Linked DNA regions of Drosophila melanogaster. Changing the gene in region 1 together with any one later gene gives a genetic interaction. Each region holds a gene or a part of one and is shown in the gene's direction. Other genes may lie near its edges.

What was found.
Region 2: of sas (region 1) and Ptp10D, changing one enhances a phenotype caused by changing the other (phenotypic enhancement), as found in Drosophila melanogaster (one study listed by BioGRID).

The regions. Positions count from the first base shown.
Region 1 is NT_033777.3:7,159,623-7,166,872, forward strand, and holds the start of sas (stranded at second), read left to right. Parts: upstream 1-3,185; 5' UTR 3,186-3,418; intron 3,419-4,499; 5' UTR 4,500-4,737; intron 4,738-4,806; 5' UTR 4,807-4,898; coding exon 4,899-5,238; intron 5,239-7,250.
Region 2 is NC_004354.4:11,619,253-11,626,294, forward strand, and holds the start of Ptp10D (protein tyrosine phosphatase 10D), read left to right. Parts: upstream 1-2,762; 5' UTR 2,763-2,933; exon of another isoform or gene 2,934-3,105; intron 3,106-4,500; exon of another isoform or gene 4,501-4,577; 5' UTR 4,578-4,850; coding exon 4,851-4,964; intron 4,965-7,042.

The DNA.
Region 1 (7,250 bases):
CACAACCGGTGTGGCTGTCTTCGCACCGGCTCGCCTTTTGTTTGTTTTGTTTGTATGAAACATATTAAACATATAGTCGCATATGTATCTCTCCAGCGGTCTCTCAGCCCGTCTGCAATGCATTTAAATGCAGTTTGTGTATATATATTTATTATACGCTGCATGTGCATGCTTTACTTTTACTTTCATATGCAACTGGTTGCTGGCAGCCAAAATGGGGAAGTGCTGTCAGTCCGAGTGTGGGCCTCGTTTCTCTCAGTGTGCGCGTTGTTTTTCTTGCTGTTCCCGGCTGCAATGAAAACAGTTTGTAAAGTGATTGTCAATCATTTTTGGTGGCATGTCGCTTAACCGCTTTGACAATAAACGGCAACAGCAATAGCAACACAATGGCAGCTGCTACACTTTTTGCTGGTTTTAAGCCACGTTCGTTGGCCACATTAATTGTACTTGCATTGACTAAATTAGGCTGCTGTAGTGTTTTCTACACCCAAAATTTACTTTGTAGATTTCGGCTTAATTGTTGTAATCCCTTATTTAATAAGAGCACTTGTGAATGGATGAGAAAATGCGAACTATCGGTACAATAAATCCCATCACGGCAATTAACGACAGACCAATGCATTGGTCCACTGTGCAATGATACCAATCCGCACAGCTTTCAAATAAATAAATGTGGGTATATTACTTATCACTCTGCCTGCCTTAATTCATTTGACTTTAATCATCCAATAATAAACACTAAAATGTAGATCAAACAAAGAAACCCGAAAATTGAGCCAAATATATTGACGTAATATCAAGCAAGTTTCGGTGCAGAGCAAATTGGTTAAATGCCTTTTGTGAACAAATAAGGAAAAATGAGCCAATTTAATGCGCACTGACTTGACTTCATTTTACTCGGTGTCGCTGCCTTTTGAAACAGTCCCAAATTCGAGATTAACTGGAAAGAGATTTCGTCTGGTTTCATGGCCTTAGTTTGGCCAACTCTCTTCGACTTTTATCATGAGATTTTTTCTTTTTTTGATGTGTAACACCACGAATGAAGACATTACCAACGAACAGCAGGTGGAAAAAACGAACTGTGAAAACTTGGCCCCTCGCAATGGCATCCGAAAAATTCATTTTTCGCGTTTTTATATAATGTGGATATGGCTTTTCGCTAATTTCGAATTTAATTTCGAGTTTCTATGTAGATTGTACTCATAATTAAGCCAATTACTATTGAACAACTTTCGCTGCTCTTCGTCTGCGCTATCGCATTGCATGCGATTGGGTAAATCAAATCACACAAGTATCAGGTTTACCAGGTCCCATTCCAACGATGCAAGGAAGTGGGTGCTTAGGTCTGTGGCCATTTGGTAGCTAGATAATTGGCTATCAGTGGAAGACCCATTGGTAGTATGCAACTTTGGAATTTTTTACAACACTTCTAGTCTTCTTTTCTTTTGCTTAATTTATATTTCTTAATTTTTAATTCTTAATTCCTAATGCTTTAGTATTCATATGTTGTGCATTTTATGCAAAAGACACTACTTGTAGTTTCCGTTTTCTTGCAGCGTTCTTTTCCTTTGCATACATTGAGAAATGCTCCATTCAAAAACTGTGAGCATAAACTGAAGTTGCATTGTTATTATTATTATCTTTTTATGTTCGCCTGTATTTTATTAGCATTAGCATTAGCGGCTTCTCAATGACGGTGCGATAAGCCCCAGACAAAATATATGTATGTATAAACAAAGGGAGACAATGCAACTTTGGCCGTGTTTGTGCAACACCAAAAAAAGCGCATTTCTGCATTATTCTCTGATGTTTGCACGTTAATGTATGCAACCACAAGAGCAGCCCCAATAACATAGAAACTGTGTGCACATTTGATACTTTTTGACGTCTGCGAGCAGAGAGTTGAGAGTTGAGTTGGATATGATTTGATTTGATTAGATTTGAGTTCTTCAGACACACATTTCCTTTTTAATGACGGTTGGCCAACTTGCTGCCATTGATGTGTGATGACGGTTTCTGGGCGCGTCTCGCATCCCAAGTGGAGAATTGATATTTGCATCGATGGCATTTGATGGCGGTGGATCAGTCAGTGATCGGTGGATTTATGAATTTGGGAGCAGCTCCGCAGATAAGGCCTTCGGAATGGCGGTTATTTGGGTTTGCTAATAGATATTGGAATTTCATGAATCTTTCTAGTTTTATTTAATATTTCGGGTATCGCAGTAAAAATAACTTTTATGTAGTTATATATACATATATCGTACTTTCCTCTATAGAAACCGATTTGACCTCGACTAGTTTTTGGGTTTTAATAGCGTCGGCGTACTTATCTTATCTCTAGTTTTACTTATCCCAAAGTAATTGGTTAAATATTATTAGAACACCAAACATTTAGGGATTATAGTAATTATTTCACATAATATAATATAATATAGTACTAATGCTATCCTTATACTAATCATTTTTATCACTCACGAGTGTTCAATGTACCCTACAATAGGGGTGATAAGGTATCACCTTATCACTTATCATTTCACTCTTTCGAAGTAGCATAGAATTTCTTTATTTAATCATATTTACGAAAGCTGTAAATGGGATTAATCTCTTAGTGCCGCTGTGACCCCAAGCATCCCTGACTCATGAACACTCTGGATCTACGAGTATGGAGATGCAGGGCCGCTAATACGAATCTACGCTTGTGCTCTTTCAAAAAGTCAGACAAAGAAGTCGAGGAAGAAAGAAACCGAAGGTAGGCGTAATCGGAACGATGAATGCCAACTCGGCTTGGCCTGGGTTTTTCAATGGGATTGAGTTTTTCGCCATCCAATTGGACAGTCCAAATAGATCGCGCTGAGTTCACTTGTCAAGGAATCGACTATTGCAGTTGCCTTGCCAAATTGAAAAAAAAAAACTCCGTCTTTGAGTCTTGTGTATGCATCATGGTCGTCTTGTTTCGAATCCAACGACTTCTAGAGAGGGCCTTTCGCTCACTACACCCACACTGGCAGACAGCAACAGCCTAGACACACCTGAGTGTGGGTGAGAGCGAGCATTCAACCACGGGGTAATGGTAATGGGTATTATGTATTACGTGCACGGTCTCACCTGTTGCGCTCAGCTGACGCGCGAGAAGGAGCCAGCCAGATGAGAGCCAACTAAGAGTTGGCCGGAGAGCAACAGCAAACCAGTTACATGTTGGCAGCCTGCAGATGCAGACCGTGGTGAGTTGGCAACGCTACCAGCCAAGATCCGTGCCGCCGGAGAGATCAGTTGGTGGTCGTGCTTGAGACGGAGCGGTTGGCCGAGTGCGATCGCATTACTTTGCGAACGATTTATATATACATATAAACCGCGCTGCCCACAAACGTGGCCAGATAAGAGGAGATATATACCAATACCTATACCTATTTCTCGCCGGGTTGGTGCTAATCTTCGTTTTAAGCGTGCCTGCGTGTGTGTGCGGTTGTGATTTATGCAAATCTTTGCTTTCTTATTAAACAAACACAAGATCTGGTAGTGAAATAAACGGCCCAGCAGAAGAAAAGAGAACCACGACCGAAAACATTCCATTGGAAATACCGAAAACACGTTTTCTCCCTCCAGCTCCGAATCGCTTGTTCGCTGTTTGCTTTCTGCCATTTGCCATTTCTACAAAAAAGGAGTGAGAGTGAAATGTGAAATGCGAAATGTCAGTGCAAATAGCTATCAACTTTTACAATGACATCACTAGATGTTAGCCAAAAGAAATATTAACAATTGCCAGCAGATATGGAATAAATAGAACCGCACGCTGTCTAATTGCCTTCGTACCAATATGGCCAAAAAGGCGTGCAGCAAATTCTGCGGTCTGCAGCCGTTTTCAGTTGCAGTTTCTGCTGCTGCCGTTGGAACCGGTTGAAATATTTTGCTATCGCAATTTGGGTCTAGGGTTTTTTGTTGCTGGCGTTGCATTGTAGCGAGTTGCATGAGCATCGACTGCCTTGCATATAAACAGTATATCTTTTTTTAGAGCCCAATTGGCAGCCTTTGTTTTTGGCAAGCTGGTTTATTTGCCTAGTTTCTGATTTGAATGGTGAGAAGTAAACATTGTGCTGGCGGCGTAGTCTTAAAAAAATGAAAGATATTTATGAGCTGCTCTAGGCTTAGGTACAGAAGTTGTAAATCTAAATGAAATATGCTAAATAGGGTTTACGTATCGTAAATCTACATAGGTTTTCAAAAATTCGGACACATTCAAAACTATGCGAAACTTTATAAAACAAAAGACTTGGGAAACGAACTTGCGTGAGTGGCATCGAAGATGTTTACGCTTTCACACTTAAATTGGTCATTACATAAATGTGTGACATAGGAAATGCTTTAGATATGCGGCGTATTTGGAAAAATTAGCTAATACTTTTATTTCGTAGCTTAATTAACTCACATATTATTTTTGATTGATTGAGTCAAGAGTAAGCCACCCCTATTTTCAAGCTAACAACTTTCCAATTTCCGCGTAGGGCGACCTAACAAATCACTCAACAAATCGGCTGGCAAAATATAGACTTGAGTTGACACTTGAGAGATCGTTATTCAACCGACTTTCAACGGAAATGACAGCATTTGGGGTTACCAAAGCGAGTCAATGACAAATAACAGAAACCGCTGCCACAGATGTCGTGTGAACTAAAATAACCGCATAAGAAAATCCCGCACCCCAAAAGAGAAAACTAAATAATAACTAGTGAACAAAAGTAGGTAATGAGTTATCGAGACCCTTCGAAACGTTTAAAAGTGCATGTAATTTATTTAATTCCATATTTATAGCAGATTACTATAAATTAACAATAACAAGTGCAAACGTGTGAGAAAAATCAAAGAGGAAAAGCCAAAAAGACGGAGCACAAACATAAACCAAAATGCAAACGTGTAGAAGAAGAAAAGCCTCCGGCGGCCAATCCACGATCAAGTGGAGTAGAATGTGCCTGGCCACTCTCTGCGGATTACTTTTGCTTGGCATTCAAATTGAGCGTGCGGCGTCTGCGCCCGCAGGCGAAGACGCAGCGGCCACAACGATGCCACCTTTGGATACCACAACAGATGCCCCAGACGCCGTTGCAGCCACCACCACTCCAGCCACAACTGCCGCAGAACAAAGCAGCAGCATCAGCAGCATAACCACCGAGGCGGCGGATGGTTCAACGACTTCCACGACGACAACAACTGAGGCGGCCAACAAATCCAATGCGACCGAAACTGGTGAGTCCAAGCCGAAAGCCATGAAAATTATAGATAGACGGCATCTACGCGACGACGCTCGCATAGCTGGGGCATCTCATCCCGATCTCCGGCCAGACACTTTAATCCCGCCTAGCCGCGCTGTGCTCTCTGCGCCGTAATCAAATCTCGTTCTCTGAGCCACCAATTAACGCCGTGCCGGTGCGTGACTTCTGGTCCGCCCTTTTTTTTACCCATTTCGTTTCGATTTGTACGGCATTTCTCCATAATTATTTTCCGATTCGGTTAAATGGAGCGAACAAGAGAAATTGTTTGACTATTAATGGATGGAAGAATATTTGAAGATATACATAAGCGGTTTCCTGTTGAATTACTTAGTTAATTACGCGGCATATTAAAGGGAAAATATTAAAATTTCCGGCCCTCAAGCTCAATCTCGGAAACCAATTATACGAGAAATTATTATTCGTGCTAGAACAAGTGAATGAACTTAATTAAATCTTAATATATTCTACTCGTACTACACCCAAGATACTCAAGATAAATTGAATTATACTTCTATTTCGATACAATTGATACTTAATATAAAATAAAAAATAATAAATCAGATTAGATTTTTTTTTTTTTTTTTGTAATTCTGTTGAATGAACACATTCACATTTAGGTTATTAGGATAACTGGAGAAATTCGTTTAACCAGATCACCTGAGATGGAATGATTAACTTTCACACACGTACCTTTTGCAAAATAGATTAATCGGGCAATTCCATTGCCGAGTTCTTGGCTGTAACAGATTTATAATTATCTAGAAGGTTGTTTGGGCTTAATGTCAGTTGCACACCAAACTCTTCACGAGGCAAGCACTCCGTCGTAAAAACTTCAATTGGTTTTTCATTGTTTTGATACTATTCCATCTAGATTCATTGATGACTCGATAAAACGAGGTCTAGCAGGCCACACACAGGTCTAGATCGATTGAGCATAGGTTGTTGCCATGGCAAGTGGGAATGCATTGTTTAAAAGGGACTGGCCTTTTTTAGCCGGTCTAAATGCCACGGGAAGTTAATGAGATTTAACAGCAAACATTGGGATGGTGGTAAGGTAAGCCTTCACAAATTACTCAATTTAAATGCAAAGCAGCCAACTGTCATGACTCATGCCCTTAACCTACGTAGTCCGTACCATAATCTTGGAGTTAACTTTGTTAAATTTTGGGTGTTAACTTTGTACAGAAACACGGAATGTCTTTTCGCGGGGGCTAATTATATAAGTATGTGCCCAGGAAATTAGCTAAGAGAGATAAATAGCAATTAGTCATTGACAGATGTGATAAATGAAACACCTACAAACTTGGAGAAGAAACCGCACCTGATTACATTTTAAAATGGGTATTTCAAGTGATGCAAACTCTTATTTTGCCAGGCGTTGAGTGGGTAGCTAGTGGATTGAGGATTTGGATTTTATAATTAAAACAAGCACATATGTATTAGCAAATCAATTATTGGGCAAGACTTTAGACAGTTGATAAACTGGTTTCGTGTTATAATTACAGTTACCGAAGCAATAAATATAGAAATAAAGCTAGACTAGATTTTAACGAAATCATGAAAGTAAGTGCACAATATTCATTTTCATTTTTAATACAAATTTCGTGTTTTGTAATGCATGTCTTTTTGGGGATATTATGCTATTATCGACCCGTTTTTGGATTAACCACAATCCAAATAAAACATTTTGCAAATTTGCAGCAAATTGTTTTCAATCTGAGGAAAAAATCAGCAAAGTAATACTAATGAGTTGGAAAATTGTATACCACAACTGGCTGCAGTTGTACTTGAAAGTCGAGTACATAAATCATTTATGTTAATTTTCAGTTTTGCGGTCTGTTTTGGGTGCTAAATTATGGCCTTGATAGAGCGCGGGCAGAAATTTAAAAATGCAGAAAAAAAATCCTATTGAGCAATTTTCAATGCGTTGGCATTGCAAGTCAGGGACTGCACTCGAAATGGCTTGCCAAAAATAAATAAATATAT
Region 2 (7,042 bases), on another chromosome or scaffold:
TAAAAATTCAGCCAAAAAACTTAAAAACGAAAAAAAAGAGCGTGGGTTGAAAAACCTTTTGTTTTCATATTCACATTTCCAAGCTTTGAGCAATCAAACAATTTTAATTTTCAGTATACACATATGTATAATGAGTTGGCTTTACAAAAGCTATTAACAAATCAAGCAATTGTGTAATTTAATATGAGACTTTCCGTGATTTTCGCTTTCTACGTACTTTTCGACTTCAATTGATCTATAGGGTTTCCGTATTAAAAACGAAATTAACGTGGTTTCATTTGATGAAAATGCAATATGAGCTCGCATTTATTTTGATATTATGACAGTAATAATGATCTGATCACGATAATCGTTTTCTCAAAACATAAGCGATACATTTTGGGTACATTTGGCCATTACTGTTTCTGTGTGTGATTTCGGTATAAAATAGTAGTTTGATTACATGTTATATTGATGAATGGCGATCGGTGGGTGCTGCTAAATGCGTTCCATTATCAATAATTTTCGTTATGTAATTACGTTTAATTTGTAAATATGTATGAGTGCGAGCGTGAGTGAGTTTGTGATCGTGTCAGCATGGGTGTGAATGAACATTAGATCAGTGCTCGGATTTGGTTTTAGTTGAAATTTAAACCCCATTTCCCCGATTTCCCAGTTATCACCTTCCGCCCCAAAACACCAGTGTAAAAAGAGTACAAAAAAAAAAAGAAAAGAAAATAGAAAAACAAACAAACAATTATATATTTATTTCGCCCTAAGTCTAGAACGTGCTAAACACAACTCATTAATAGTTAAACAAACGGATGTTGCAATCGATGGAAATTAAACGCTCGCTTTTAGTTTTGCCGTCTCGCTCGAAGAAAGAAAGAGGACTACATATGTACAGTCAAACTAATCCAAGTCAAACTCTTCAGTCTCAGAATTGGAGACTTTATTAAAGGTTTTTTATTTTATGAAGAATAGCATATTATTTTTATATATATATATTTATGTATATATATTTATATCACAAATCTCCTTCGATATCCCTTTGTAATCTATAAAAACACTTCCAGGCGCAGCTTTATTTTTCAACAGTTTTAATTTTGGGAACTTTACAAAGCATATAAGCATACCCCAAATCCATATCCTTATAAACTTTGTAGTTATTACAAATGTGTTCAAAATTAAAAAAAAAGTTTGTCATCCAAAATCCAATCCGCTAAATACAATATAATCATTTTAATTGATCTATGTTACACTTCTATAATGTCTACTGGACAAAATATGATTAAGTTGAAATTTCAAAGTGTTTTTGAAGTTCGTACTAGCGAAGTTTGGCTGTAGTTCAATACTCACAGAAAGGGAGCGAGACATATTCCCATCTCGCTCCGACCTGTTATCAAAGCCTTTGCCATTGTCCTTGGCGTTGCGTTCTTATCACCGGCGTATCGGAGGGAATATATGATTTTTTTTTCGGCCAAGTGGTTCTAGTGGTAAATATGAGGCGGTGGGTGGTTTCGGGGGGTTTGGGGGAACGGCGGTTGGTGATGGGCGCAGAGAAGGCGGGAGGCGGGGGGGAACACGTTTCGTTATTTTTTGTTTTATAGCGAAATTCCTCTAGCTATAAATGTATGCATACATATATGCTATTAACTTTTCGTTTAGCTCAATTTTTTGTTTGTATTTTTAATTATAACTCGGTTTGTCTAGTGTGTAATTAAATTAAAAGTCCAATGCTAATTCCCCAGCGAATCGTTCAGTGTTTGTTCAAACGAGTTGTGCTCTTTAAACACTTTTGGCTTATCCTTTCATTTAATTTTTGTTTGTTTTCCTTGCGTTGTTATATGTCCAAATAAAAATGAAAGTTTGAATTGTTTTTTTTTAGTAATTTAGTTTTAACTGTAATGTCAAATGTCAAGAGGTATACTCTGTATAAGAATAATAATGTGTAATGTAATTTTTAGAACTTGCTAATCTCTAGCAATTAAAACATAGCCTGTAATTAACAATAATTAATTATAATAACCAGTAACAGTTCATGCAAATGAAACCTTAATAAATAATAAATTATATAAAAGAAGATGGAAGTGTTTTCAATCAATGAAGTTACTTCCTATTTTCAGGAGTTGGAATGTTACACTTTTTTATAAGCTGATTTGAAATGCGCGCCACATTATATCTGCCTTGCGCGCACGCATTGCAGCCGAATAACGGCGAATTAACTCCCCTCAGAGGTGAGTTTGAACTATCGATTATAATCGATTGCATTCGGAAACAAAAAACACCTTGAGTTTGGTCAGATCGGTTTTGCGCGGGATAAATAATAAAATATTAAATGTTTTCTTTGTTAACATTTCGCTGTGCATGCTGTCTGGGTACACATATACAGCCTATCGCCTTGGCTCACTAAGCCCATGGCTCAGATGTCCATTTGGACTAACATTTTGTGTGAGTAATTGAATAATAAGAATTACGGAGCTCGGACTTGTAATGGCCGAAGTACTACTGCCGCAATGCTTGGTTCACGTTAAAAAGAATCAAGTGCAACAAATTTAATTGTATTTAACTATTTTATAACCGCGCAGCAAAGTAATGGTTAATTCTGCTTTTAAATAGTTGACAGTTACAAGCGAAACATAGAAGCCGCGCAGGTTCCTATCGATACCATCGCTGGGTCATCGATTATTTGTCCAGCTCTACAGGTGAAACGAGCGTTGGCGATTCCGATTCCGATTCCAATTCCGATTCCAAATTCGACTCCGGACTCGAATCCGATTTGAATCAGATTCCAATTCAGTGTGGTGAAGAGCGAACCGGAGTGCGGACGGTACGGACGCGAAATCTGTTAAGGCGGGCCGCAAAGCAAACGCTCGAAAAACGCAAAATTTGTCGATTGTCCGTTCCGCTTTTTTCTTGTGTCTGTGCTTTGCGTCGCGTGCCTGCGTGTACGTGTAAGTGTGCGTGCGCCTGTGTTTGTTTTTTGTTATTTTTTTTATAACCAACGACAACAACAGAATAGAAGTAAATAAAATACACAAATTAACGGTGTATATATTTAAATGTTTTGGTTTTTTTTAGTGGCGTGCCGAATGAGCAAAATTTGAGAAAAACGCAGTGGAAAACGTAAGAAATGCTGAAATAAAGCTTAAAGTAAAAGCAGAAATTGAGAGTTGTTTGTGTGTGTGTGTGTATGTGTGTGCAATAATAATAACAAAAAATGTTGGCCGAGGGGGGCAGACAGACACAGAGCGAGAGAGGTAGAAGCAACACCTACGCAGCTTTTTTATGTATTATTTCGTTTTTTGGCATGCCGCTGCTTTCTCTCTTTCACACGCAGCCTCATTTGAATATTTTGTTGTTGTGCGGCAAATTTCTCCACTTCCTGTTTCTCTGACGGCATTCAATTTTGGGGGATCATTTTGGCTTGTTTCATAAAATCTCTATTAATGCTGACAATAAGTTGCGAAAAATTTCCAGTCGCATTAAAAAAACTTGTCCCACATTTAACAATAAATAAGAGGTGAAGAAATACGTTTTTAAAAACTTGTTTTGTTTTTGTGTTTTATGTGCCGAGATCATAAAGCTCTCTCTCTCCCTCTCTCCCTCTCTCTCTCTCTTGCTCTTCTCTCTCGACCAGAAGGAAAAAGATCAATCAAATCAATCTGCTCTGCTCTTCTTCTGTCTTCCTCTCTTTGCAACAAAGTTGAAGGTCTTTTCTGCATGACAACGTTGCCAAGCGCAGAAAGCAACAACAAGACAGTGCAACAATAACAAAACATACACAGAACAAAATTAGAGTAGCTTAAAAGGGAACTCCTAAATTAAATTAGTCCTACAGCAGGATTACCAATTCATTACAAGTCTATTCAAAAGATACAAGGACAACATCTTTAATTTTCCAGAAGATATGATACTTGTCAATACAATTTGAATTTTGTGCCGTGTATCGTTTTGATTTCGCAAAACTGGTTTTCAGACGTTTAGTTTTATTTGTTCTTCATATTTATTTGGTTTTTTTGCTGGCTGCGATATTTTAAATATTTCAATGACGTCAGCGCAGGCTAAATTATTGATCAGCAGTATTTTTTTGCAACTGCACAAGACAGTGCAATTAATTAGCACTTGTCTGCGAATTAGATTTAAATGAATTTAATGCATTGCTTAATCACACAGTTCCAGGAATGAAAACTTAAGTAGAACGGGTATTTCAATATTATACTTTACTGCTAGATAAGTAAAATAATTGATATTGATTTATTAAGCAAAGTCTTAACAGTGGTTTTTAAATCTCAAATGTTCAATCAAATTTGCATTTGCCTAGTTCCACTGTGCAGAAATATAGAAACAAGTCGCAGAAAAATATGAAAAAATAGGAACTGAAGCTTTCGGCGCAAGCGCAAAGTGTTGGATAAGCAGAAGAGGAAGCAGAGCAGGTAGAGAGCAGGACAGCGGCACTATCTAGCTGTCTCCCTCTTGCGATCACTCTTTCAGTTATTTTTAATTCATACTCTCTTGCAGATCACAAAATAAAAAACAAACAAAAACAAAACAAGAATATGTTTTAATCAATTCAAATTAAACCAACAAATTGCAAGCAATTGGATTCAGGATAAAAATTTACAAAATTTCACCACACTAACGGGAAAACTGTGAAAACAATGCATTTAATCAAAGTAAAGACTAAACTCGCGCTAAAAATGCCCGAATTCGAAAGAAACTAGCGAAAAGCCCAATTCAAAAATCGCACAATAAATTGCAAAGTCCAAAGCAACAACAACATAGGAACAAATAAAACAAGAAGCAGGCAACAAAAGAGAGCCAGGCGGAGAGGAAAACAACAACGAAAACAGCAAAACGACGGCCCCAAAATGTTGTACCAGCTAAGTAAAGCCACTACTAGAATCCGGCTCAAAAGGCAAAAAGCCGTTCCACAACATCGCTGGCTCTGGAGTTTAGCATTTCTGGCAGCATTTACACTAAAGGTAAGCGAGAGGGCCAACAAAAACATGGCCAAAACACACAATAGCGGGTGGATTTATAGGCCCGTCGAATTACCCGTTTCGGAATCTTAGCTTGGGAGAAACGATTATTCAGGATAATAATAATAATTATTCAGGATACATCAATACAAGAGAAATATGCAAAATTAGATAGGAGTTCAAAAGATATGATAAACAACAATAACCTCGAAATGTGCACAAATAACTTTCTAAATTCGAGGGCTATCGAAACGACAAGGTTCTGCAAACATTGTCCGAAGTTATTTAATTATTTATTTGTGACGACCCCGCCCCCGCCTCGAATTAAACCGCCCACATGGAAATCATCGTCTTCGTCACTTTTGTCTGTGGTCTTTCCCATGTTAATTAAATTCAATTATTTCGCATCGTGTTTGCTTTTCGCCATTGTTTATGCGAATGTATTTGCCTCACTGGACACAGTACTAAAAACAAACAAACAAACAAAGCAACAAACAAACTCCAATCCGATCAAAGACCTTGAGGAAACAACAAACAAAAGCAAGAGTAACAAACAATAACCGAACAAGATTTTGCATTTTGCATCTCAAGTCGTGTGCTGTGCAGATATGAAGTAGAATGCATTTAACAGAAGATGATGACATATTTATACCCTGTACACTCAGAATAATTAAATATAACAAACTTAACAGATAGTTATATTTTCGTTTCAAGGAATTTGTCTAAATACTTTGCATGCCTGGCATTTTTAATTGATACTTCGAGCTGTGTTGCATAATAAGTAATTGCATTGCCGATTCCTCGATGTGTGCAACTCAGCTGAGTGATGCAATCGATAAGGCTGGCAATTTTCCTAATTAGGTTTTTCACTGTTGCACTTTTGCACGAATTCAATTTTCATAAACTTTATACTTTATGGGTAAATATCTGAATATAGGGGTTTTCATAGGGCATCGATGCGGTGCTACTAACTCACGTCGTATTGTTATGTACTATTTGCTTTTAACTGGTCACTGGTTACTAAGGGTAATTAATCATTACACATGTGGGCACGACTTGTCATGAATTCTGGATCCGCAATGAACCGGCTAGAATTCGATATCGGTTTCATTTTACATTGACAAACTTTCATTCGTTGGTTTTTTTTTATTTGTTTACTTGCTTAGCAAAATTATTGGCGCGTAACGATTACTATGTATATGTGTAAACATTTATTCTATTTCTAGTACAACTAACCAATTGTTTTTCCGGTATATCCATTTCAATTGGGTTTTTTAGGTCGTTTTGTTTATTTTTTTCACTGCACCGATAAATGGGCAGAAATATTTGCCATTTGGTCACATACAATCTCAACTTATTTCGTCGCTGGTGGCCATAAGTCACGTTTCAGTTTAATAGTGAACACGAGTACGTACATACATTCATTAATGCGAGTACACATCCATAAGATACTTTTCGCTTATATTCTTTTCCGTTTAAAATTGTACAGTGTTTAGCCGAATTCTGTTACCGATTAATGTACAATATACGTATGTATTAACTTTATAAAACATTTTAAAACAATTTATTGAAAGCCTTAAAGAGCAACTCAAAGAAAGATCAATAATCAGTGTAAACAAATAAGCCATAGGAAGAGTCCGATTAAATGGAGCGGAAAATGTGGCTTACAGAGAAAATTAAAAACAATTATCCCAGTGGGATGGGAACAAGGAAGTGTTGGGTAATTAAATGCCGGCCAGAATCCTCAGATGCACAAGGCAGATAGGACGACACTCTCCTCCCAAAAAAACCCCGTGGAAGACCACACCCATTTCATGTTCAGGACACGTGTCAGCCGTAGCCGTAGAAACAAAAACATAAAGATGGGGCACATTTCTTCCAGAAAATAGCCAAGATTGGGGGAAAAAGGTGGCAAGAAGTCAGTCGGTGCTGGATGGCAATTAAATGCAACCCTGCATTGTCATGCAATTGACACCGAAAACACTCAGGTTTTTACCCCCTCGACTGCCAGAATGAAACCCCTTGGTTTTTTTTTTCCACCCAAAGCATAAACCGAACCGAGTTCTACTCGAAAATGTGCA